Arabidopsis thaliana: one gene and its partners. Changing the gene in region 4 together with the main gene of any one other region gives a genetic interaction. Each region holds a gene or a part of one and is shown on either strand. Other genes may lie near its edges.

What was found.
Region 1: of FT (region 4) and FWA, changing one suppresses a phenotype caused by changing the other (phenotypic suppression), as found in Arabidopsis thaliana (one study listed by BioGRID).
Region 2: of FT (region 4) and ELF3, changing one suppresses a phenotype caused by changing the other (phenotypic suppression), as found in Arabidopsis thaliana (one study listed by BioGRID).
Region 3: of FT (region 4) and SPY, changing one suppresses a phenotype caused by changing the other (phenotypic suppression), as found in Arabidopsis thaliana (one study listed by BioGRID).

Annotation. Positions count from the first base shown.
Region 1 is NC_003075.7:13,036,734-13,042,964, forward strand, and holds FWA (FLOWERING WAGENINGEN), read left to right. Parts: upstream 1-1,626; 5' UTR 1,627-1,684; intron 1,685-1,786; 5' UTR 1,787-1,895; intron 1,896-2,559; 5' UTR 2,560-2,578; coding exon 2,579-2,748; intron 2,749-2,869; coding exon 2,870-2,987; intron 2,988-3,183; coding exon 3,184-3,768; intron 3,769-3,855; coding exon 3,856-3,957; intron 3,958-4,051; coding exon 4,052-4,255; intron 4,256-4,426; coding exon 4,427-4,598; intron 4,599-4,711; coding exon 4,712-5,079; intron 5,080-5,167; coding exon 5,168-5,509; 3' UTR 5,510-5,731; downstream 5,732-6,231. Other genes in the region: homolog of DNA mismatch repair protein MSH3, read right to left, coding at 5,967-6,231.
Region 2 is NC_003071.7:11,057,110-11,063,824, reverse strand, and holds ELF3 (hydroxyproline-rich glycoprotein family protein), read right to left. Parts: upstream 4,882-6,715; 5' UTR 4,367-4,881; coding exon 4,148-4,366; intron 3,948-4,147; exon of another isoform or gene 3,786-3,947; coding exon 2,989-3,785; intron 1,809-2,988; coding exon 1,757-1,808; intron 1,667-1,756; coding exon 647-1,666; 3' UTR 501-646; downstream 1-500. Other genes in the region: ALPHA-VPE (alpha-vacuolar processing enzyme), read left to right, coding at 147-329. UniProt on the Arabidopsis thaliana protein: May be a transcription factor part of a circadian clock input pathway. Acts within a 'zeitnehmer' feedback loop and is involved in its own circadian regulation. Has no role in regulating circadian clock function in the dark.
Region 3 is NC_003074.8:3,630,218-3,637,934, reverse strand, and holds the start of SPY (Tetratricopeptide repeat (TPR)-like superfamily protein), read right to left. Parts: upstream 6,049-7,717; 5' UTR 5,440-6,048; intron 5,120-5,439; 5' UTR 5,094-5,119; coding exon 4,698-5,093; intron 4,541-4,697; coding exon 4,379-4,540; intron 4,293-4,378; coding exon 4,117-4,292; intron 4,012-4,116; coding exon 3,936-4,011; intron 3,648-3,935; coding exon 3,519-3,647; intron 3,259-3,518; coding exon 3,139-3,258; intron 3,057-3,138; coding exon 2,988-3,056; intron 2,904-2,987; coding exon 2,822-2,903; intron 2,649-2,821; coding exon 2,554-2,648; intron 2,474-2,553; coding exon 2,409-2,473; intron 2,329-2,408; coding exon 2,130-2,328; intron 2,013-2,129; coding exon 1,818-2,012; intron 1,724-1,817; coding exon 1,629-1,723; intron 1,534-1,628; coding exon 1,398-1,533; intron 1,304-1,397; coding exon 1,086-1,303; intron 1,011-1,085; coding exon 883-1,010; intron 792-882; coding exon 388-791; 3' UTR 1-387. UniProt on the Arabidopsis thaliana protein: Probable O-linked N-acetylglucosamine transferase (OGT) involved in various processes such as gibberellin (GA) signaling pathway and circadian clock.
Region 4 is NC_003070.9:24,329,737-24,334,544, forward strand, and holds FT (PEBP (phosphatidylethanolamine-binding protein) family protein), read left to right. Parts: upstream 1-1,636; 5' UTR 1,637-1,641; coding exon 1,642-1,974; intron 1,975-2,789; coding exon 2,790-2,851; intron 2,852-3,564; coding exon 3,565-3,605; intron 3,606-3,729; coding exon 3,730-3,953; 3' UTR 3,954-4,263; downstream 4,264-4,808. UniProt on the Arabidopsis thaliana protein: Component of the mobile flower-promoting signal (floral stimulus or florigen). Promotes the transition from vegetative growth to flowering. Required for 'SEPALLATA3' (SEP3) and 'FRUITFULL' (FUL) accumulation in mature rosette leaves.

The DNA of each region.
Region 1 (6,231 bases), on a different chromosome or scaffold from region 4:
ATAGATAGATAGTTAGTTGTAACTAGGATAAGATAAACATTTTTTTTCATCGAGTTATTGCAATGATTTTTCTCTAAAGTGTAAAATTCTACAAAGATACAATAAAACATCTTAGGCCAATGAATTGAATTATTTGTTATACATATACAGTATACAATTATATGGAGATAAATTTTAGTATCTCTACTCAAATTAGACAATTTGTCTACAATATTGTTATGTGTCATAAACTCGTCCACAACACACAACATTCATCCATTAGGTCCCAATGATCAAAAGTATAGTAGTAAAAAGTAAATCATTGTGGCGACACTTTTTTTCGTCTCAGCCATTTCGAGCTTACTCTGCACATGCTATACATCAACCGCTTCCTAAAACCTACAATTATAAGGTATTAATTTCATAGCTCACAACAAAAGGAACAAAATACATCTTTAAATTCTACAAAAATAAATCTAGAGTTACAACTTCAACCGAGAAAGTCTATCAATGCATATTTCCATTTAAAGTGTGACCTGTCATTGTTAAAAGTTTATTATTGTTGAATAAATTTAGTTAACAATTTCGTTTATCTGTTTTTAATATTATGGGAAGGAGTCATTTTTCACTAAGCATATAGATTTTCTAATGAGTATCCCTATATATATATATATATATTAAACTTCTTTTTTCGGTCAATACAATTTTATAATCTTTCATTTTTTCTATCATTTCATATCATTGTAACTATAAATTTTCGTAAATAGACCTTTAGTGTTAATACAATAGATTTTTATTAATTTTATATCGGATTTTGTTTAAAAAAGAAAAACCATAGGATGGATGATGATTGGTACTTATAAGATTGTAATTGGGTATTTTTGGATTGTTACCACCATTACAAAGCTATTAACAGAGATTGAAGATATCACACAATGAGAGCGCCACAGCTTCAGCAACGTCCCATGCAGCTGATGTGCCTTCGCCTTTCTCTTCCTCATCTGCGCTTATAAATAAGGCAAAGCAACTAGAAAAGATTAAAACCAAAACCAAAACAAAAAACTAGTTAAGACCCTGATTTTGTTTCATAGGTACATACACTTTTCAACATTGATTTTTGTTGTTAAAAATAAAATCCATGTGAAGGTTCTCATCATATACCGAAAGAATGGGAAATTTGAAAATTCCATACTTTTTTAAAAAGACAATTTGTTTTATCACTTTAGTTTTTTTATATATTCAGCGTCTACCAAATCTACACTTTTTTTTCTTTCTCGATTTAGTTAATCTTCGTTCTTGTGTCATGTAATAGATTACTATTTCAAAACATAGATATTTAGTTATCTAAATAAAACTAGGCCATCCATGGATGGTTTCAATTTTTTTTTTCATATGAAAGAAAAGTTAAATTTCATTTCACAATAACCATTGATTACTAAATTTAGTAAAGAATCAATTGGGTTTAGTGTTTACTTGTTTAAGGTTTTTTTTTTTTCTTTTGTTATGGTTCTATACTAATATCAAAGAGTTATGGGCCGAAGCCCATACATCTTTCCGTCGAGAATCTCATATATTCTTTATCGAAGCCCATACATCTTTCCGTCGAGAATCTCATATATACCTTATCCCATTCAACATTCATACGAGCGCCGCTCTAGGGTTTTTGCTTTTCGCCATTGGTCCAAGTGCTATTTGGTTGTTTAAGGTTGCTTTTAGCACACAACTTTAATATTATTTTTATGTTTTTCTTCTTACGATTTATCGATTTGTGGGATACTGACAATCAGATTATTGTTGTTTTTTCCAGCCAAATATCAGATCTTGCGCCGCTCTTTATCCCATTCAACATTCATACGAGCACCGCTTTACGGTTTTTGCTTTTCGACATTGGTCGAAGTGCTATTTGGTTGTTTAAGGTTGCTTTTAGCACACAACTTTAATATTATTTTTATGTTTTCTTCTTACGATTTATCGATTTGTAGGATACTGACAATCAGATTTTTGTTGTTTTTTTCAGCCAAAAATCAGATTTTTTTACATTTTGTTTAGAGAATGATTTTGGTTCCCGATTTGTCTGTTTTTCGCTTATGTGTAAAGTACTTTGAAAAATATTGTGTTAACTCTACAATGGGTATCCCAAATTTTTGAGTTCTTTTGTCTTGTTCGTTGTCGAGACACTAGAAATGTTAATTTAATTCTCTTCTTCCAAAAAGAACCATTTACTGGTTCATTCTCTACTTGAATTTTATTCTGGTTGTATTTCTTTTCCAGTATAAAGCAGATTGTTTTTTGTTATTTTTCAGTTTAGATTGGCTTTGTCTCTTTTGAGTTGTTGCAATTGTCAAACTTTGGAATGAAATAGTAAATAATCTTAGGTTGGTAGTAAATCTTAACATTGTGTTTTTGGGGCATAATTTATCGATAAAATCTTCAGCATTAAAACCAAAAAGAAAAAACTTTTTAAGTCTTTTTTGTTTGGTGGTTAATATAAAGTTTATACGTGTATTAATTTGATCACACTCACTATATGTCCAGGGAGCTAAACCTCTATATCGAGTACTAATAGTATGCAATGTCCAGGTTATTGCATTGAGGGAAAATGAATGGACAAGGTGATTTGGATGCGGTTGGAAACATTCCAAAACCAGGTGAAGCTGAAGGCGATGAGATTGATATGATTAATGATATGTCTGGTGTTAATGATCAAGATGGTGGAAGGATGAGAAGAACCCATAGGCGCACTGCTTATCAAACTCAAGAACTTGAAAAGTTTGTTCACTTTCTTCTTCATTTCATCATCATGCAACATTTCCTATTATTTTTTTTATTTTTTTATTTTGAGTTTGGAATGTTTCTCTTTACTTTGCTCTTTACTTTAAAATGAGTGTAGTTTCTACATGGAAAATCCTCATCCCACTGAAGAACAGAGGTACGAGCTTGGACAAAGGCTTAATATGGGTGTCAATCAAGTCAAGAATTGGTTCCAGAATAAAAGAAATCTCGAGAAGGTACCAAAAAATACAGAAGTGTATACATGCATGTGGCTGTGTCTTTTCTTATTCTTTGCACGTACCGTATTATGGACCATGTTTCTGCCCTATGTTAAAAACAAATACTGTATATAGTTTACCACCTCTCTCTCTCATCCTCAAAATCTGCCTTGATTATGGTATAATTATTGAGTGTGGTTTTTTGGGTAAGCAGATCAATAATGACCACCTTGAGAATGTAACTCTTAGAGAAGAGCATGACAGATTGCTAGCAACTCAGGATCAGCTTAGAAGCGCAATGCTACGTAGTTTATGCAACATTTGTGGTAAGGCAACTAATTGTGGAGACACTGAATATGAGGTGCAAAAACTTATGGCTGAGAATGCTAACTTGGAGCGGGAGATAGACCAGTTCAATTCCAGATACCTTTCTCATCCCAAACAAAGGATGGTCAGTACATCCGAACAGGCGCCTTCTTCTTCCTCTAATCCAGGAATAAATGCAACACCAGTACTTGATTTTAGTGGTGGAACTAGGACGTCTGAGAAGGAGACATCAATTTTTCTGAATCTTGCCATTACGGCTTTGAGAGAGTTGATTACATTGGGAGAAGTGGACTGTCCATTTTGGATGATAGATCCAATCGTTAGATCCAAAGGAGTATCAAAGATCTATGAGAAGTATAGAAGTTCTTTCAACAATGTCACAAAACCTCCCGGGCAAATTGTGGAGGCTTCAAGAGCTAAAGGTTTAGTTCCCATGACTTGCGTGACTCTGGTCAAGACTCTTATGGACACAGTAATAACCTTTAAACCACCACCCATTTTTTAGTGAAATGTTGTTACATGAAATGTTAACAAGTTTTTTTTTTTTTTTTTTAAACAGGGCAAATGGGTCAACGTGTTTGCACCTATAGTCCCTGTGGCATCAACCCATAAAGTGCTATCTACCGGTTCTGGTGGAACCAAAAGTGGCTCACTCCAACAGGTATAATATATATAGTTTTCTGAGTCGTCTATATTGGTTGATAATCCAAGAGAAGTAGAAACATTTCAAATTTGTGATCATATAATTTTGGCAGATTCAAGCAGAATTTCAAGTAATTTCTCCGCTGGTACCAAAGAGAAAAGTAACGTTTATTAGATACTGCAAAGAGATCAGACAGGGCTTATGGGTGGTCGTCGACGTTACTCCTACTCAAAATCCGACTTTGCTGCCCTATGGTTGTTCTAAGAGGCTACCCTCAGGCCTTATCATAGACGACCTGTCCAATGGGTACTCCCAGGTTACTTCTGAATCCTGTTCTTTGAACAATATATGTTGGTTCACTTGTTATTACTCGCAATCATAATTAATGATCTATCAGAGCATCTTGTACTGTGGAGACATAAATAAATGGTTAATGGTTATTATTATATTCACCACATGTATAACACATAGAGATTTGATTTCACAGGTTACATGGATTGAACAAGCGGAATATAATGAGAGTCACATCCACCAACTCTACCAGCCTTTGATTGGCTATGGGATCGGGCTAGGTGCAAAGAGATGGCTCGCGACGCTGCAGAGACACTGCGAAAGCCTCTCGACCCTTTCATCTACCAACTTGACTGAAATTAGTCCAGGTGAAAGCTATTTAAATTATAGAATAAATCTCATTACAACTACTTTTTAGGTCATTTTCGGTTCTCCACTAAATTTGGACAGGCCTTGATTGTGATATATGTTTTCGATATAGGATTGTCTGCAAAAGGTGCAACTGAAATAGTGAAGCTAGCACAGCGAATGACTCTCAACTACTACAGAGGTATTACGAGTCCTTCGGTGGACAAGTGGCAGAAAATTCAGGTGGAGAATGTGGCACAAAACATGAGTTTCATGATCCGAAAGAACGTGAATGAGCCTGGTGAGCTAACTGGGATTGTGCTGAGTGCATCCACTTCTGTTTGGCTCCCAGTGAACCAGCATACACTCTTTGCTTTCATTAGCCACCTGAGTTTCAGACACGAGTGGGATATCTTGACCAATGATACTACCATGGAAGAAACAATCCGGATTCAAAAAGCAAAACGCCATGGAAACATCATCTCTCTTCTGAAAATCGTTGTGAGTTTCAAAACATTTATTTTTGGTTTAATGAGTGTCGTTTTGTCTATGTTTCCATTGATTTTCGTGAGTTTTGCAATGCAAACAGAATAATGGTATGCTGGTTCTGCAAGAGATTTGGAATGATGCATCAGGTGCAATGGTGGTGTATGCACCAGTGGAAACCAATTCTATTGAGCTGGTCAAGAGAGGTGAAAATTCAGATTCTGTGAAGTTTCTTCCTTCGGGATTTTCGATAGTGCCAGATGGAGTAAATGGGTCATATCATAGAGGCAATACTGGTGGAGGATGTCTACTGACATTTGGACTTCAGATCTTGGTGGGCATCAATCCAACTGCTGCACTCATTCAAGGTACTGTCAAAAGTGTCGAGACACTCATGGCTCATACTATTGTCAAGATCAAATCCGCGTTAGATTTACAGACGTAACCATCAGCAGCTCCAGTTTCCGTTGTTCCGCAAGAAATTCGACATTGGCTTGTGCCCTAGTTTGCTTTTCCAACCAAGACTCTTCTGGATTAACTTTTTTATGCGTTTGTTGATCTGTTTGCTGGATATTTCTTGCTTCCTTTCTTCTTTCCTTTTCTGAAACTCTCAAATTGTTACAAACCAGAATTAATAGAGAGTTAGAACAATATATTTCGTATTCAACATTGATGGAGATCATGCTTCACTATATCAGGTGAAAAATGCATTCCAGAATTCTAATAACTACTAGAAATCAAGCTGAAAAGAAACAGGGTTGCGGGTGGAGAAAAGATGTACTGCAACACCGGATTAGAATCCATCTCTCTAATTCTCTTTTCTTGTTATACTAATACACATAAGTTAGTACGCAACTAACAGATGATCAAGACCTTGCAGTTGCTATAATGTTAAGATTAAATCAAAATGAACAAGTTGGTTTTAGTCTGATTTTGCCAGCAATCTTCCAAGCATGCTTTAAAAACTCGAATGCTTTCCAAGGGTCCTCTTCAGAGAGAGCAAATTTCAGGTCTGCAAACAAGTCACCTAGAGCCGAAATAGATTCTTCTGCGCCTCTCGGTTCTTCATGTCCTTCTGGTTCTCCCATGCGTGTATTTCTCTCTCTTGCACGTACCTCAGCTTCCAATTTTGCAGCCATTGAAATGGCTCGACGTATACATGATGGA
Region 2 (6,715 bases), on a different chromosome or scaffold from region 4:
TTAAACAATGGTATTGGCCAGAGGATGCAAGACTCAGGACGTTAGATACGATATGATATGTCGGAAAAAAATCACTTTCAGTCCTCATTAGATGATTAAGCTTCTTGTGATGATCACTTTCTTATTCTCCTTTATGTGGTTGTTAGGTGAGAGCTTTCGAGAGGCACTGTGGATCGTTGTCTCAGTACGGAATAAAGCACATGAGGTCGATTGCAAACATGTGCAACGCAGGGATTCAGATGAGGCAAATGGAGGAGGCAGCAATGCAGGCTTGTCCCACCATCCCTACCAGTCCTTGGAGCTCTCTTGACCGTGGATTCAGTGCTTGATCTTCGTCTCCGCCCTATATTAATCGATGTCCATTAATATCTTACTACCAATTATACTCCTTCCTATGTAGACAAGATGTTGTAAATATGGGATGCTTAAGTTCTTGATGTCACAGACAAAAGAAACAGTGATTGTAAGTAGTTGTTTCAAATAATCTTTGTTGTTCAAGTGATTTCAAGGCTTTAAGACAAATTAACACATATAAATGAGGCTTACACCATAATACGTTTACATGGTACATATATTGAGGATAACATCTATCACAATTTTTCTAATTTTGTAAAATACATATCAAGTACAATACGCATAGAGAGGATTAAGGCTTAGAGGAGTCATAGCGTTTACGTTCTTCTTGTATTGACTGGAAAATTCTGGCAGCATTCTCACTCGCGAGCTTTGCGTTGTGAGGTACCACCTTTATCACTCTCGTCACTCCTCCCCCATCTCTTGTTGTCTGAGTAACAGTTGTTCTTGTCGTCGTTGTGGTTGTTGTCATCGTTTGCTCAGGTGCATTGTTGATGTTGCTGTCCTCATCAACGGCTGCGAATGGCCGAAAGGACTTGCTACCAGAGATTCCCTGTGGCCCACTTGGACTGCTTCCTGTGCTCCCTTGCCTGCTCTTTCTTGCTCGCGGATAAGACTTTGTTGGCTGTTGCTGTTGCTGTGGAGCAGGTTCATTATCAGATCTCTGTTGTTGTTGTTGGGTGTTCTGAAGATTTCCAGGATGTCCAAACTGGTTCATTTGCTCATTGGGTTGTTGTTGTTGTTGTTGTTGGCTTGAACAATATGGGTTCATTATGGTGGGCATCATTCCATATGGAGGGAAGTAGCCATTACCAGGAGGTGGGAATCCCATGCCGGGGTGATATTGAGGCATTACCATTGGTGTAGGCATATAATGACCATAATATCCTCCATAATGCCCCGTGTGTGCCATACCTGGGTGAGGCTTGTATATCAGTCCTTCCGAGGGAGACATTACAGGGATCAACCATTGCTGATGATTTCCTGAAGGAGGAGGCTGAGGAGGAAAGCAATATCCATTTGGAGCCGGTGAAGCCGGTGGGTTGTTTGCAAAAGGCATGTAGTTGGATTGTTGATGATGACCTTGATTTGACAACCTCCCAACTACGTTCTCAGCTGAGCTTTCCATTTTATGTTGGTCAGTCTTCTCCGAGTCACCCCTTTGTTTGACGACAACATGTGGTAGAGGAGGCTTTACCAGAAATTCTGATGGAAGGAGCTTCTTCACTGGATAGCTTTTAGCAGAAACTTTTCCAAGAAAACTGATCTCATCGAGCAAGAGATCCGGTGATGCAGCAATAAGTTTTTGAACCTGATTATTACACAGTTGAAGAGGTTTGTTTCAGCTCGAGAAGAAACAAATACTCATGGAAACATATGAGAAGTTTCTGAATGACTTTACCTTAATCAGTCTGTGCAACTCAAATAGTTGAACAGCAAATACTCTTTGTTGACTGTAATGAGAAACAGAGTCACATTAAGAAGATTATCCATCAAAAGTTCAACAAAGAGAGACATAGTTTAGGTTGAACAGCTAATGGAACAATACGATCGAAATGAGATAGGAAAAAAGAAACAAGAATACATAGCCAATCAAAAAAGATAGAAGAAAACCAAATCAATGGGTCCAATGACATATTAAAGCATAGATAACAATGCAAAGGACGGGCTTATTGAAATCTAGCTTACAGCGCAGCTTATCCTCTGCAAAATGAGATGTCAGATATTTAACAAGAAGCAAGAAATAAAAATCTTATTATTTGCATTGGTCGTGAATCCGATACCTTACCATATGGATTAGAGTACATTGAACCTTAAAAGTTAAGTCATGAAGCCTACAATCATAAAAACTCTGTAGTTCACAACCACACTAAGGATCCTCTTAAGCAGTAGTAAGAAGAAACTATAATTCTGCATCGTCATAAGACTCAAAACTAACTTTACGTATGGTTAACTAAAATTTAGATCCTGGGGTCCTCGGAAAAACATTTCCCTACCTGGTTCAACCCCTTGAATGACAAGTAGGGAAAATGCCCAAGACGACAGTGCAGAATAAAAGCAATACCAAACCGAGACAGGGACATGTTCCAACAACCAGATGCAAAGAAGGTATAGTAATAAAGCCATCGGCGGGCACCTTGCACAATATAGGTCAACAGAGAATGTCCCTCCCTGCTATAACATGATCCAACGTGTTAAACGCGTTAATATTCTACCGAGGACTCTACAACTAAACACATAATAGGACCATTTTAGATGAATCAGGGGCCTCTCAACTATAGAACCATCACTTCTCAAGCATAAACCTGAAATCTCTTTCTCCCAAAATGAGACAGAATATGAAACTGAGTTATAGTCATATATGTATATCAGCAATCAATTGCAGCATTAATCATGAAAAAAAATATGAAGGAGAGTGTTCTAGAAATTTGAAATTTGGTGATAGTGAAATATGCCCTACCACAGTCCTCAATGAAAATAGCAAAAAACAACAGAGGAAAAAGCTTCAGTAAGACTACGGAACAATGCTTAAATATTAACTTCTTTCAAGCAAAAAATGTTGGTATCAAAGAAGGAGATAAATAGAAAGAGCGGAGAATAAATAACCAAACTGTAAATTTCTAGTGAACTTACTTGGCAATGGCTTTCCTTGCTCTCCAGAAACGTTTTTGACCTAATATACCCACAACATCATCGGGAGAGACATCTATGCTGGATATAGAATCCACCATCGAATCATCAGAAACGTCATCACTTGCCTCTTCATTTATCTGCTGCAGAGAGGCGCATGCTCTGCTTTTGCTGTATTCACGATCATTATCAATGTCTTCAGGACTGCCATGACCCTCTTGTGAATGATTTTCCGTTGCCAAGTGAGATTCAGCTCCATTATCAGTGTCCTTCAGACGAGTTTTGCCACCATCTCGGTATAACCGATTTCTAGACTCTTGTCTCAAGGAAGCATTATAATCATTTACTCTATCATGACTTGATGCTGATTTTTCGAGATCAATCTCCTCTGTGACTGATACATCTAAAGAGATTACAAAGCCACCTGACCTTGCATTCGCCTTGACCTGATCCCTAACTTCAGGTTTTGAACAAGTAGCCAAACATACGTTTTGCTTTGAGCCTGTCTGATTCACTTCTTGAAATCGAATGGAGTGATGAGAGCTAGGTGCCACCATTGGGGTGTGTTTTTCCTTCTCAATACCACTCTTGGTTCTGCCATGAGACTGAGATCTTCTTGAGTTAATATATACTGGAACTGCAAAATCTTCTTCCTCTCTCACCATTTTCCTCTGATCATGCTGTGCCGAAGATCTCACATTTTCCATGAAGGACATTTGGGAGACAAACTTCTCAGTTGCTTGGTTTGCGGCTGAAGAATCAAGATGCTGGACAGATAAGTTTCTTTCCACACCACAAGGCTGCATTGAAGAGGGTAAAAAAGGATTATTTCTCATGTCCTTGCAATAGTCTGAATGCTCAGGGCAATCACAAGAAACTTTCATCGAACTTCAGAACATAAAAAGAATCAGGCACAACAAGAATGTTAGTTTTAAGAAATAAACCACACTTAGATAAACTTGTGTCTACAAGACTCTCATATATACAGGAGAATTCAATCCTAAAAGCTCAATCCATAAGCAAAAAGAAGATACTATGATCTGATAACAATTGAAACATAGATCAACCAATGTCCTACTTTCTCTTTCAGGCTATATAACATCCAAACTCATACAACTAATAACATCAAGAGCCTATACAATGATCAAAATCAAAACAATACCTGACTAGATGGTCCAGGATGAACCAAAGTGCTTGTGTTGTTACTACGAGAATTCATCGTTCCATGATCACCAAACCTCTGAGAAGGAATACTAAGCTGCTCATAAAGAGCCATCTTGTTTCTAGGAGGAGCTCTAGGCCCTCCTTTATCTGCATCATTCACATGAAGCCGAGGAAACATAGGTTCCAATATCTTCTCCTCATCTTTCCCTCTCTTCATCACTCACAATTCACAACCTTTTTCACTTGCAAACTTCTCAAACCCCAAATAACCTAACTTCACACCAAAAATCTTCCCTTTCTCTTAATAATTCAACCTAAAAACTGAGAAAGACTCCAACTTTCACAACAATAAGCTTCAATAAAACAAACCCACCAATCAAATGAAATATCTTAACCCAAAGGACAAACTACGATAGAGATCTCACCACCAAACCAATCAGAGAAAACGAAATCGAAAAACAGACTAAAGAGGAATCAAACAAAACCAAAGTGAGTTTTCAACGTACTAATCGAGAAACAGAGTGGGTGAATCAAGTAGAGAGAGCAAAAAGGAACAAGATTCAGAGGAAGGAAGAAGATGACTTGTGAACAGAGAGAGGAAAGGGGCAAAAAGAGATAGGAAAAGTGGAGCCCAAAAAGATAGAAGGAGAGGATCTCTCTGGAGATATTATAGATTTAATCCATTTGGACATTTTTTTCACCACCGGAAAAGTGCGTGACGACGTGGACTCTTTTTGTCGTTGTAATAAGAAACTAGAAAGTAAAAAAAAAAAACATCATCCAATACATCACTTTTTGTTTTCTTTTAGGATACGTAAAATGTCATAGATATATTACCATGTTAGAGGTTCTTTGATCAGTGCTTTGTAATGTTGAATAAAAGATTGTTTTCAGCTAAATGAAGTCTGTTTGTTTTTTCTTTTCTAGCAAATGAGTGGAGTCATCGACACGATTAGATTACTTGAAGATTCTTTTCTAGGGTTGTATGAAATTATAGGGGAATATAATGTAATATATGTGGATGTGAAGAGTAATTATATAATCATGCAATCTTCCAACTCACTGAATGAGGAGAGCTCCGATCTGTTAGGGATTTCCAGAATTGAAAACAAGAATATGGAAGTTGAAGATCATGCATAAACTGAAACAATTTCTTTGGTGAAACACAGAGCCGGTCCAACGTTTTTAATGCCGACGTAAATTAAAAAAAACATGTATTTCTCATTTTTCATGAATTTCGTAAAATCGTTTCTGAATTTTATACAATCTTTTCTGAATTTCTTAGATATCTTTGGATCGACAAAGTCCGATCCATAGTCAATCCCTACTATGCGGGATAACGCGATTTAGTGGGATCGAACTCCAGTAGGGTGGGTAGGTGGAGTCAAATAGACACGCCCTATGTTTTGTTAAGTTGAAATCCAAAAATATGAGTGAAAGAAAATCCAAATAATATTTATCTTAAAAAAGCCTAAAATATAGTTTATGTTTAAAAAAGGAAACTTAAAAGATAATTTGTCTTAAAAATGCTTCCAAAATTTTGATGCCCAACTCCATTCATTTCCTTGCTTGGAATGTGGGCTAGGCGGCCCAGGCCTAGAGAAACATAGCAAAAGCTCTAGGAGCTGTGATACGTTATTGGAAATGTCCCACTTGGACACTCTTATTTACTAAAACACGTTTCAAATCCATAGGACTAATAATTGACAATATATACCAACGGTGATATGCTGCAGCTGAAGACATCAACCCCACATTTTTCACTTGTCCTGTATCTAACGTTGATATTGTCCCAATTACCTTGTCTCCCTTTGTTAACTCCATCAACAGTTTGTGAGAAAGAATATTAAGAGGTTTTTGGACATGTATCAATTACAAAACCTTTAGGATCATCAAAAGTTACTTCCGTTTTTAGATACTTTTATATATTGCTTATTCGGAAGTAAAGAAACAATCATATTTACCAAAACCAACAAGTGAATGTATCCTTCAAAAGATAGAAGTCCCAAGTTGTGATGCTAAGGAATGGATTGGGGCCTTTGTTATGTATAAAATAAATTTGCAGGGGTTCCAAAATCCACCAACTCAAACTATCATGGACTTGTCCTGTATGGTGTCGTAAAATGCAACTACGATCCATCTTACGAATAATTCTAAGCATGTTATATAATTGGGAGTGGTCGGATAGTGAGAAATCATTTCGGAGTTCAAAATACTCGGTGGCACTATGAATATATAGCACTAATACCTCTGGAAGCTTAAGGTAAGGAATTACCAATGGTACTCAAAATAGTTTGGTCATACGGTTATACTCGCTTTCACTCTAAAGGAGATTGCGAATTTTTGGTAAAGATTATCAAATATCAATGGATATTGATGTTGGAAATATGTAGAGATATCCAGTGGTGGAGCCAGGAATTTTATTTATAAGGGTCATGAAATATATAACCTAAAATGTTTCATCTTTCAAAATAAAAAATTCTCCCATTTATCCTTTTTGTTTAGTGTATCATCAAGTACTTTTTATCACCAATACACTTTTTGTTAATATATAATATATATTGTG
Region 3 (7,717 bases), on a different chromosome or scaffold from region 4:
GGTAAAGGCACCGAAAAGCTTTCTATAACTATATTTACTATCATATGAGTCAAAATCCAACACATGAAAACATCCTAAAAAGCCTTAAAACCCTAATCGATACACAACAACTTGATCTCTCAAATGAGAAGAAAAACTCCAAATCCACTACCACCTAACGACTTCCCAAGAATCATGTAAAGCTAAACTAAGAGTAGAAAGAGATACAACAAAAGAAAGAGCTGGTTTTACTATTCTTTTTACTACACAAGCAGTAATCTAAAGTCTAGTTCCTATTGTCTTGGAAGTAAATAGCAGGAAAAGCTCATCGACTCTTTCTTTCACACCTTTTCCAGATGGGTCAAGACTCTCTGCCGGCATTTCGCAGCAGCTCGATTTGCTGGTTATCTAGCTAGTGGAGTCCATTCTCTTTGAGAGCTGCGGGGATTGGGTTGGTAAAGAGGAAGGTACAGGAGCAGAACCATTGGCCTTGAGAGACGGAGTGGCTTCTCCAGTAACGCTGACTCTTGATGGTCCCAAGTCTTTTGAGATTAAGGGATCATCATGGACCTCTTTTTGCAGCATTTCCATTCGCCTTAAGGACGGCACTTCACCTTTGCAGTACTTTTTCCACATATTCCGATATGCGGATTCAAGACCAACAGCAAAGGAAGGACCATTACAAACAGGAGATCCAGCCATTAGATCCCGGAGACTCATTCTCAATTTAGAAAGAGCTGTGACATCAGAGGCTAGATCAACAGATAGCTGAACATACTCATCCTCATTTTTGGCAACCAGGTGTCCTAATCCTGAATCAAGAAATGGCTGAATTAGCTAAAAGATGTCCGACTAACAACAATTTTTGCAAAAAAAAAAAAAAAAATTTTGCTAAGAGCTTACCAACTTTAGTGAGAAGACTGACACCAACATTATGAGCATGTACTGAGCCAGCCATTGTAACACATGGAACTCCCATGTAGAGAGACTCACAGGTAGTGGTAGTTCCAGCATAAGGGAATGTGTCCAAACTGCAATAAATGTAAATTAAATATGTGAATCTATAAGCCTCGGTGTTTTACAGAGCACTATGTGTCAAATCTTACCTAATATCCATCAAGGAATAGGCTTGCATATGGTCGTGATTGAAAAGAATCAAAGGCAAGAGATCAACACGCTTTGATTCTAACCCAAGCTGCTCCAGCGTGGTGAGAAACCTCTGCCTAATGCTATCGCAGCAGAAAGGTTTGCATTTTACCACTAGACGAGAATTGGGAACTGCACACAGTATCCTAGCCCACACTTGCAGCACCTTAGGAGTTATCTGATTTGCACAAACAGAGATAAACCTGTCAAAACATTGAAAGAGATACTAGGGGAGATTGGTGTGCATAATCCAAGGACACAAATTTTTTAACCTTTGCGAGGTTGTTGAAACTACCAAATGTGACAAAGCCATTAGAAAGCGCAGGTGTTGGACAAACAGGACCAGCCTCTGGGGAAGGTGTATAACAAAGAAAACAGTCCGGAAGCCTAACCAGCTCCTCGACCTGCCTGCAATCAAATATCACAAAATAAATAAATAAAAATTAAGATTTTTATTTGGAGCACTTCCGAAACCCAAAATTGCATCTTGAACCAAAACGTACTTTTGTTTGGTATCTGGTGGATCAGCCAACGAATCTGTAATTCTGTAATCAACAGTGGGCAAACCCGTAGTATTTGGATAGCCGATCCAAGTAACCTGGTATCTTAGCCAATATAAGTACACTTGAAATGGAAAGTCAAAGGCAAAACCCGAAACAACAAAATGAGATAGGTTTAATATATCCTCTCACCTGAACCGGTGCTGGTCTGCAGGCCATTGTTCCCAACTTGTTGTTTGCCGTATGACCAGTGAGTTCTACCAAAATGTCGATTTTGTCCTCTCTGACCATACTTGCTATCTTTTTCTCATCTATCCCGTATATATCCTTCCAAACTCCACCTTTCTTCAACACTTTATCCCTAAACCTGTATGTTTTTGCATCTGCCTGCAAAGCCATGAGAGACCAATGATTGCTCAAAAGGGAAAAATGCCACGAGAACCAGGAAATGAATTGCTTAGAGGGAAAATGTATCTATATAAGTTATATAGGTAAAAATCCTACCTTAACTACCGCTGAATAAACCACCACTTTGTACTTTGTATAATCATGATGCGTAAGGGGAGCTTCAATGAAATAAGATACTGAATGAGTGAAGAAATCTGGTGAGATATATCCAATGGTGATAGGTCGCTCTGGATCTTTCAGATTATCCCATGAAGTGTATTGAGGGTGTAATCTTGTGAAGCGCCAACCCCAGTCTCTGTGTTCAGAAGATTTTTTCACTGTAAGACCCATAAAAGCAACATAATACAAATCTACATTAATAATATATGTGCTTACCTGTGAGCCTCAAATAGTTTGTCATCGAGTCCTTCATTTATGTAATTCATGGCAAGCAATCGGTTCTACAAAAGGGGACAAGAAGGTTTTAAACACATATATCTTTCAACCTCATAACAAGAAGACCACGCTAAAGTATAGATACCTGGCCAGCATTGCGAGAATCTGGATCTATCTTAAGGCATTCCTCATAAGCATCGATAGCCATAGTTATATTTCCAGCATCTCTGTAAAGAACACCTACATTTGAATCGCACCATGAAACTGGTTATCACAGACACTACAAGACTCTTAGCGCCAGGGAGGTAGAAACAAAAGGACAAACATAAAATCTAAATTTCAAAGGAATATAGTTTCTAAGCAGTTGTAACACGTGAGGAAGCTCGTAAAGAACAGAAGATGAGAAAACAGACCTAGGTTGTTAAAAGCTTCTGCATATGTGGGATTAGCAAGTATAGCCTTCTCAATCATGCTGGCAGCAGCATCCATTTTCCCCTGTAATATCAGAGGAATTGGCATTCTATCGACTTAGGAGATTCAATTAAGAAAACATTAAGCCGCCCTTAATATATATCAAACCTGGACTGTATAGACGACACCAAGGTTATTAAGCGACTGTGCAAAATTTGGTTTGATTGATAGAGCCATCTACATAGGTTGGGAGATATAATAAGCCACCAAACACAATGAAATTCTCATGAAACGCTACAGATATCTGCAAAAATATTACCTGATAACACTCCACAGCTTTATCAAGGTTGTCACGGTCTTTGTAAAGTACTCCCAAATTGTTGCAAGCCTCAGCACAATGTGGATTAAAGTGGAAAGCAAGCTCATAGAAGACAATCGCCTGCACATTGAGAATGCAATCATGACCACAGACATATTTCATTCTTTGGCTCTACAATTCCATTATAATATAGAGATCTACATACAGAGTTTTGGATTAATTACGAGAACATGTGGAGAAGGATAAAAATCTAGGTAGATAAACTAGTCAAGATATATATCATTTTATCAAGCGAGTAAAGTGGCGAGGAAAGGATAAACACGCGATAACAACCACACCATTACTGACTTACAGAAATGAACAAATCACAAATTAAATACCATGTCGAACTTTAGCATTTCTCCATAAGCCACCCCAAGATTGTACATAGCATCTGCATAGTGCCAGTTATAATAGAGAGCCTTCTTGTAATATGCCACTCCTTGGGTTACATCGCCTTCAAGTTTAACCTGAAATATCATTGACATTTGACAAGTCAGATGTACTCACAGCTGAACAGCTTCTCGCCAATGGAAAAGAAGGATTAAGAAACTGCAAATCAAAATTATTCAGCGCAAAAGTTCACTAGTAAAGAACATAAACAGATTCCAATGCCATTGCCGTGACATAAGTACAAAGCACACACAGCACAAAGGGGAGCTAAACAAAACGAAGTTTTATAACGAATTTTCCAGAAGGCGCCCCTTACAAAAAGTATACTTGAGTTATAAATTGTGATAAAATTTAAGGATTCTTACCTTTGTTCCTAAATCTGTCAGAGCTATGGCCATATTGTTCTTCGCAATCTCAAAGTTTGGAGACACAGCTAGACATCTAAAGGCAGAAGAAGAAGAGAAAAAAATCAGCGCCTTACTTGCACGTTCAACAAAGTAGCAAGAAACCAGTCAACAGTTAGAGATGAATTAACAGATATGCTACCTCTCATAACAAGTGATTGCCATCTCCAAGTCACCACGGTTCTTATAAATGACACCCATGTTACAATATGCTTCAGCATACATAGGCCTCTCAAGTGCAGCCTTCTCGTAGCAGCTCAAGGCATTGTCATATTGCATCATTTCGGAGTATACAACACCTAAGTTGTAATATGCAGGCTGCATAAATATATTATAACATACTGAATTAGAGAATCAGTTAAATGGTACCAAGAGTGTGAAATGGTAGAGGAACAGAAAATTACAGCATAGTGTGGGTCAATCTTAAGGGCTTCGTAATACTTTTGAATTCCTTCCTGAGTATTCCCAGCCAGCTTCAGGCTAGTTCCAAGGTCGGTCAAAACAATGGCTAAACACTCTGCTGCTGGCTTGTATGATGCATCTGCCATCAATGCTTTCTGGTAGGACTGTGCAAAATATGATGATTAATCGTTAGAAACTGATTACCTAGCAAAAAACCTAATGCATAATTGCATATCACCAATTTAACAAGTTCAATGGTCTAACTAATGCAGCACCCTCTAATGCAAATCATCACAGATAGAAGGTAATGTAATGTTGCACCTCAGCAGCTTCTACGAGGCGTCCTTCTTCTTTATGAAGTATACCACAGTGTGTAAGGGCACAAGCATTATGCGGATCCAACCTGATCGCTTCAGAAAAACAATCGAAAGCTAGATTCCCTTTGTTCTGCGTCTGCAAGCATATCCCTTTTCCAATGTGAGCTTCAACATTCTTGCTATCTTTCTCCAGCATAGCCTCATAGAGAGCAAGCGCATCAGCAAACTTGTTTCTTGCCCGAAGAATATTGGCATAAGAAAGTGTATCGTTCCCCTGAGTGACCTTTCGTGATGGAGACAAAACACCTGCGCTAGAAGAAGAAGACCGAGACCCATTGGAAAAACCATTCTCTACGACTGGTGACCTCTCTCTCTCAGTATCATCTTCCAGTCCCACCATTTTTTTGTAACTAAAATCTTGTTCACCTTCAAAGAAACAATTATAAATATCAAATCAAAGGTGGAAGAAAAATAAACCTTGCATTGTTGACATAAATATGAAGCTTCAACGAAGCTAAAGATTTGATCTTTAACAGTATCAAACCCAACTCATCACATTCAATTCCAAAAAAAAAAAAAAAAACTAAGATTCACACAAATATGCAAAAAGATCAGACCTTTGGGATGTAAACCCTAGAAATTAAACTAAAAGAAACGATTAAGCAGAAGAATGCATATGTAATTGAGAGTAAACACGAACAGATTAAACAACAAGGTCCGATACTTAGGGTTTAACGATTACTTACCACAAAACCTGAAAAGAGGAACTTGACTCTGTAGCGACGAAACCTCTGGAGCCGCTAGAGAAGAAATCGAGTGGCTAAAGAAGAATGATATGTTTGAGTAGACATAAGAGAAGCTGATCTCCGCCTCGCTCCTCCGAAAACAGAAAGCGTTGATCAGTATACCTCAGACGCCAAGCCTAAGCGGTGGAGTCGTCGCTTGGCCGTGAATGGATGGAGCGGAGGTGGCGGCGACGGCGTAGCCTCTATTATAAGCTCGAGGACAAATGAAAGAGGTACGAGGTCGGTCCGAGCCAGTGGACAGAGGCAACGACTCAGATTAGCTCTCCTCGCTTTTCCTTTTTTTTTCTTTCCACAGCTCAGATTGTTATTTTATTTTATTAGAAACGGACAAAATAGATAACAGTAATCATTTTGCAAAAATAAAAAGGAACAAGGTAAATTAATTAGTCATTGTAATAAAGAAACAAAAATCTCCAGATATGCAAGAAAATATATGTTTTATGTTTTATTTCATACAAAATCATCTGAATTATGTCCAGCCATTTAGGAGATTTGATGTTTTTTTCATGGACTATGAAACTAGTCTAGAGTTATAAAACCCTCTTGTCTAAAAAAAAAAAAACGTTATAACTTCTCTAGTTCTATTGAAGCCAGATTGATTGATGAGTTATGTTATTATTGACATATCTATCATTTACTCAATACACTCACACGTAGAAAAAAGTTGACTTCGAAAATATTGGTTAAAAGAAACTACAAAATTTGTTTTACTCACAAAGTTGATAATGTCCAAAACATAATTTTTCACGATTGTTTTATTTGGACAAAATAAAAATCATTGTTCTACCGAAAAATAAATAAATAAATTCATTCTCATTGTCTTAATTTTTTTACGAAATTATGAAGTGGGAAATGGATCAAGTAAGTTTCACAAGTGGGAGTCCAATAGTTAGGATCATGTCGGCCTCGTCCACTTGCGTTCTCCTTGATTTAACGATCACTTGCTTGTCTCAGGTCTCAACTAGTGGTGACGTCAATTCATTTGGTATTCATTGGACTATACACTTTTTTTCATTGTCAAATAATTGGACTATGCTACTTAAATAATATACAGCTACTCAGAGAGACTTTTACTCCAAAACGAAAGAGCCCCTTTTAAACAACACCTTATTATTTGGAGCAAAACAAAAAACAACACCTTATTTAAGTAAGAAATTAGTAATGGTACATCACAATGGCATCATAATGAACAACTGATAAACACTTTTGAATCGTCACCAGCAGCAGCATGTCATAAACGCACCAACCATGATAGCATAGATCGTGAGGTGCGCAATACCATTACTTCTCGAAGACATAGAAAGCATTGGAAACAACTTATGCTACTTTGGATCCATTAATCTCTCCTGATTAACTACTCTTTATCTTAACCTTGTTTTTATTTCTTTTTGCCAAGGTTAATTTAATTTAGGTAATACGTCTCTTGTAATACCAAACATTTCATTTCTAATGATATTTACATTCTTAGCAAAAAAAAGAAAAAAAAAACAAACAATGATAGCATAGATAGTGTATTATGATGGAGATTTACGTACTCTAACTAAAATTATGGAAACGAATCAACTCAACTTATGGTTGCTTAATAGTTTAATAATACTTTTTCGTTGATGCAGTTTCAATCATAGTTGATTGCATTTAAATAACAAAAAATGAAAAGAAAAAAATATTTAGCATTTCACATATTTTGATGATTGGTATGAACTTTGGTTAAAAATTTCAGTTATAAAATCATTTTTATTACGTATGATTTAGGAATGAGTTTTATGTGGTCCTTGCAACCCAAATTTTGATCGTAATTTTTTTTTCATGTCATTTAGTTTGTGATATTTTAAAATCGACTACTAGCTGTATTATCAAAACCACAATCCTGGAAACCAATTATAACCAAAATAAACCAACCAAACCAAAAAGATGAAATCGATGAACGGTGAGAAAACCAATTTTGACCGGTCACTAATTTTCATTTTGCTCTCAAATCGCGACTCCTCTCTGGGCTCTCTCCTTCTGTATCTCTCTAAGGGGAACAACGAAATCATCACCTTCTCTTTTATCGTCACCGGCGATCATTCAAGACTCGATCTCCGGTAATCAGAACATTTTCATTCGCCGACATGGCGATGACCATCGAAGGTAATCAATCACCTATCTTCCAACTGTATCATTTCCCGACGGAATCGAATCAGATTCAAGTCGATTTTCCCCTTTTACTTTTCTCCCT
Region 4 (4,808 bases):
TTCTTATAGTACTGAGCTCTCCTGTCCAATATTTAAAAATGCATACATTTTTTTGTGTGTAACTAAAATTAGTAGAAAATAAATGCTAGTCGTTAAAAAGTGCATATAGCAGATTTCGAGTTTTTTTTAATTGCGATTTCGATTATCAATGGTCGATCGTAGACGTCTTTTTTAGTAAACAAATCTGAAATTTCTATGAAGGTTACCAAATATTTTGGATTTCAACCTAAGATGAAGTTAACCTATGGACGTGTAGAACAGTGGCTGAAGTCTGAAATGATAAGATAAAGTTCAATATGAATACATTACTGAGATGTTACAAAAAACTACATCACTGAATAATTCCTTTATTTTCCAGTTTGGACAGTAGAACCTATCGCTAATTATTTAATTACCAATTAAAAGAAAAAGAAAGAATAATTCCTACAGTTGTTAGGCTATGGTTATAAGTTTCATCTTTGAACTTAAGAAATGCTCTAATTAGTGGTAATGGTAGTTACATCTATATATGTTGATGCAATGTCAAAAAGAAAATCTCTCAAATTAGCAAATCCATACCTATTTATAGACGCATAAGTATATATACCAATTATCCTGGTCGTGCAAATGGATGGTTAGTATTTTTACAACCAAACTAATGTCTAATTTTAAAAAGTAATCATTATTTTGCTTTAGATTTTTAATAGTTAATATTATATGTATAGATAGATTACCGTATGATATAATTGTTTCAAGACACTAGATACTATCTCAATTATAAAACTCACTTTTCCATAATATGGCCGCTTGTTTATAAAAAAAGAAGAGAAATAAAACAATTGATTTGGTTTATATTATTTAATTGCAGATATCTTGTACTTAATTCATTTTGAGATAATTTTGCGTATTTGAGTTCGGACATTGGTAGGTATGGACGATGAAAATAACTGCCTTCATTCTACATGTTTGAGATTTGTTTGTCGACCATATAACACAAGCGGCTAGAAAAATAGGTGACTATTCTCAAATGTCCTGGTTCTATCTAACCTGAAGGATCCCTTGTTCTACCTGGTATAACTACAAGAAAAGGCTGTTTTATAAAATATATCATTTCTTCTATGATTTCTATCTCAACTTTTTTTTTAGTTTTTTTCTTTTAGAACGTTTTCGCTTTCGAATTTTTTAAGAATTTTTTTTTTCTTTATATCTCTAAATAATAGTTTTAAAAACATAACAAGTGATACTGTAATTTTTTTTTCTCTATAAACTTGGCGGTACCCTACTTTTTTCTTATTTTTATTAATAATCTTACTTTGTTATGATAAATTATGTTAATATATGGCAAAACTAAATATATATGAAACTACTGATTACTCATTATCATAATTAATATCTTTGTATAAAAGTAAATAATATTTAGTCGAGAGAGGTATCTTGTTAAAGGAAATAAATCAAAAATTAGTGGCTACCAAGTGGGAGATATAATTTGGAATATTTCCAGTGTATTAGTGTGGTGGGTTTGGAATACCACAAACAGAAATAAAAAGAAAGAAAAATATGAAATAAGACGACAATGTGTGATGTACGTAGAATCAGTTTTAGATTCTAGTACATCAATAGACAAGAAAAAGATTGTGGTTATGATTTCACCGACCCGAGTTAATGCAAATCCGAAACAGTATAAATATGTGTAGAGGGTTCATGCCTATGATACAAATTAAAGAAGCAGAAACAAAAACAAGTAAAACAGAAACAATCAACACAGAGAAACCACCTGTTTGTTCAAGATCAAAGATGTCTATAAATATAAGAGACCCTCTTATAGTAAGCAGAGTTGTTGGAGACGTTCTTGATCCGTTTAATAGATCAATCACTCTAAAGGTTACTTATGGCCAAAGAGAGGTGACTAATGGCTTGGATCTAAGGCCTTCTCAGGTTCAAAACAAGCCAAGAGTTGAGATTGGTGGAGAAGACCTCAGGAACTTCTATACTTTGGTTCTTTCACTTGAACTCCCTTTTGTCTCTTTTCTTCTTTAGTTTCTTCAGTGCTTCTTACACCTTCTTTTTTAAAATAGAAATTATTTTCCTTTTTTGGGGTATACTGAAAATATTTCTTGGGCATGCAGAGACCTTGGTTAAAAATGCCCCACGCTTTCCTTTTCTCTGTTTTTTTATGATTTATTTGGTTTTACTTTATGATACCCAAATCAAAAACTAATTTATATTTCATTTCTTTTTTCATGAAGATGGACCCATAAAATATTTCTTCCTATCCTAAATTAAATAGAGATAAATTTATGATCTATCCCAAATTTTTTCCACCAACTTCTTGCATAAGTGATTATTATTTAGGATAAGAATCTTGGGATTTTTCTTTGTTCCTCCTACCTAATAATTTAATTTGCATTTGTTTTTTTTTGTTTTTTTTTAAGTATAATTTTTTACTATACTTTGAAAATGGCATTTTTGAAATATCCTTTTTGCTAATTAAAATATCTGCAAAAAGATATAGAAAATTGATGTTCATTAAAACAAATATATATATTGATGAATCTCTGTTGTGGAATATTTGAAAACTGTTTGAATAAGGATATTCTGATATTCAAGCCAGCCTTTAAGATACTCTCTGCTATATATAGACATGTAGCTACTACCTTTTTTCTATTCATAGTTTTCTTCTTCTTTCTTGTGTTATCTCATTTTCCAAACTTCAAAAAAGAAAAAGAAAAAAAGACCTTTTGCTTTCTTGATTTCTTTGAAAATGATAATCTTATCTTCTTATAATTCTTCGTCTTATTTGTTTAATGAAGGTTATGGTGGATCCAGATGTTCCAAGTCCTAGCAACCCTCACCTCCGAGAATATCTCCATTGGTTTGTGCACTAACTCAACTCTTTAATTAATTCACTTTTAAGTTATAGCATAGCTCAAACATGTTGCTCGAATTATATATATAGACACTCAACTACACATGTAAAACTGGACATGTATTTTGGATACTTTGAAATTGAGTAGATCACTTATAACTTAAGACTCAAACATTTTACATTTAATAGAAGGAGACATATAAAATCAACTTCGAGAGTGCGATGCATCAATTTGTCTCCCAAAAAAGCCCACACCCAAGCTAAATTGACATATTTTGTTCAAAAACTTTACTATGTGTAATGTAAATATGTATTATGTATGTCTGTGTATTTTACTGATCGCACATAGATTCTATAGAATGTATAGGACGTGACTTGAACTAAGATTTGTTTTTTTCACTTTAAAGTGGTCTTTGTACGGGAATATCATTGAGCTTAAAATAGCCTGATGACATCATCATTGTTCCTTGAAGTGAGCAGGACTAGGTTTCCTGTTATATCACTTTTTATTTTTATTTATATATTCATGCACTTGAATGTTATTGCATGTTTTGCTAGTCACTTGCACTAGTAATCTAGGAATTAGTTACGTTGCTATTATTTTTTTGTAAGAAAATAAAGTTTAAGTAGCATTTCAATTCTGTCAAAAAAAGAAGTAGCATTTCAATTATGTTGTGGTGCCATAGCTTAAACATGTGTATGGCTATCTCTCATTACAGGTTGGTGACTGATATCCCTGCTACAACTGGAACAACCTTTGGTGAGTTTTATTCTATATATTAGATCGCTAGGTGTTAGAAATATAGAAAGGTATATGAAATAGCCTAATTAATTAGTTACTAGCTAGAAAATTCACATGTTTTGATGAACTTTTTATTTTTCAGGCAATGAGATTGTGTGTTACGAAAATCCAAGTCCCACTGCAGGAATTCATCGTGTCGTGTTTATATTGTTTCGACAGCTTGGCAGGCAAACAGTGTATGCACCAGGGTGGCGCCAGAACTTCAACACTCGCGAGTTTGCTGAGATCTACAATCTCGGCCTTCCCGTGGCCGCAGTTTTCTACAATTGTCAGAGGGAGAGTGGCTGCGGAGGAAGAAGACTTTAGATGGCTTCTTCCTTTATAACCAATTGATATTGCATACTCTGATGAGATTTATGCATCTATAGTATTTTAATTTAATAACCATTTTATGATACGAGTAACGAACGGTGATGATGCCTATAGTAGTTCAATATATAAGTGTGTAATAAAAATGAGAGGGGGAGGAAAATGAGAGTGTTTTACTTATATAGTGTGTGATGCGATAATTATATTAATCTACATGAAATGAAGTGTTATATTTATACTTTACGTGTATTCATTTCTTTTCGATGCAAAAATCAGGCAGTGGGAAGAATCTGCTGTTTTACTTTTGGGTTCCATAATACACTTTTTTGTGTTGCTACTAAAGTACTGATAATATCCAAGTCGATCATTATATATCAAACTAAAGAGTTTGCATTCAATACATAAGCTAGAAAAGTAGAGCAATATTTTGGTTTTAAGTTTATGGGCTCACGTATGAAGAAACACATGTGTAAGATCGAATCCTAGGATCAAACCTTAATTATTAAATCCTTGAAAGGTAAACATATGAAGTATTTATACATTCTGAAGATTAATTACTAATGGACTTCGACGTTAGATCTTGTTCCCATGATAGAAAAACGTTTTTTTTTTAATTTGGGATAAATACGAGGAACAACTTAAGCATTTATGTTTTATTTAAAAGCGGTTTAGGCGGTTGTATTGGCTCCGTCTAGACGTTATGCTGTCAAGTTATGGTTAGATCACTGATTCAACGCCTAAAATAGTATAAGTTTCGATTTAATGTATTTTCTATTTTAAAATTAAATTTGAGTTTAAAACTAAAAATAAAACACTTTAGACATCCAAAAAAAGGAAGTGTCTTTCTGTAGT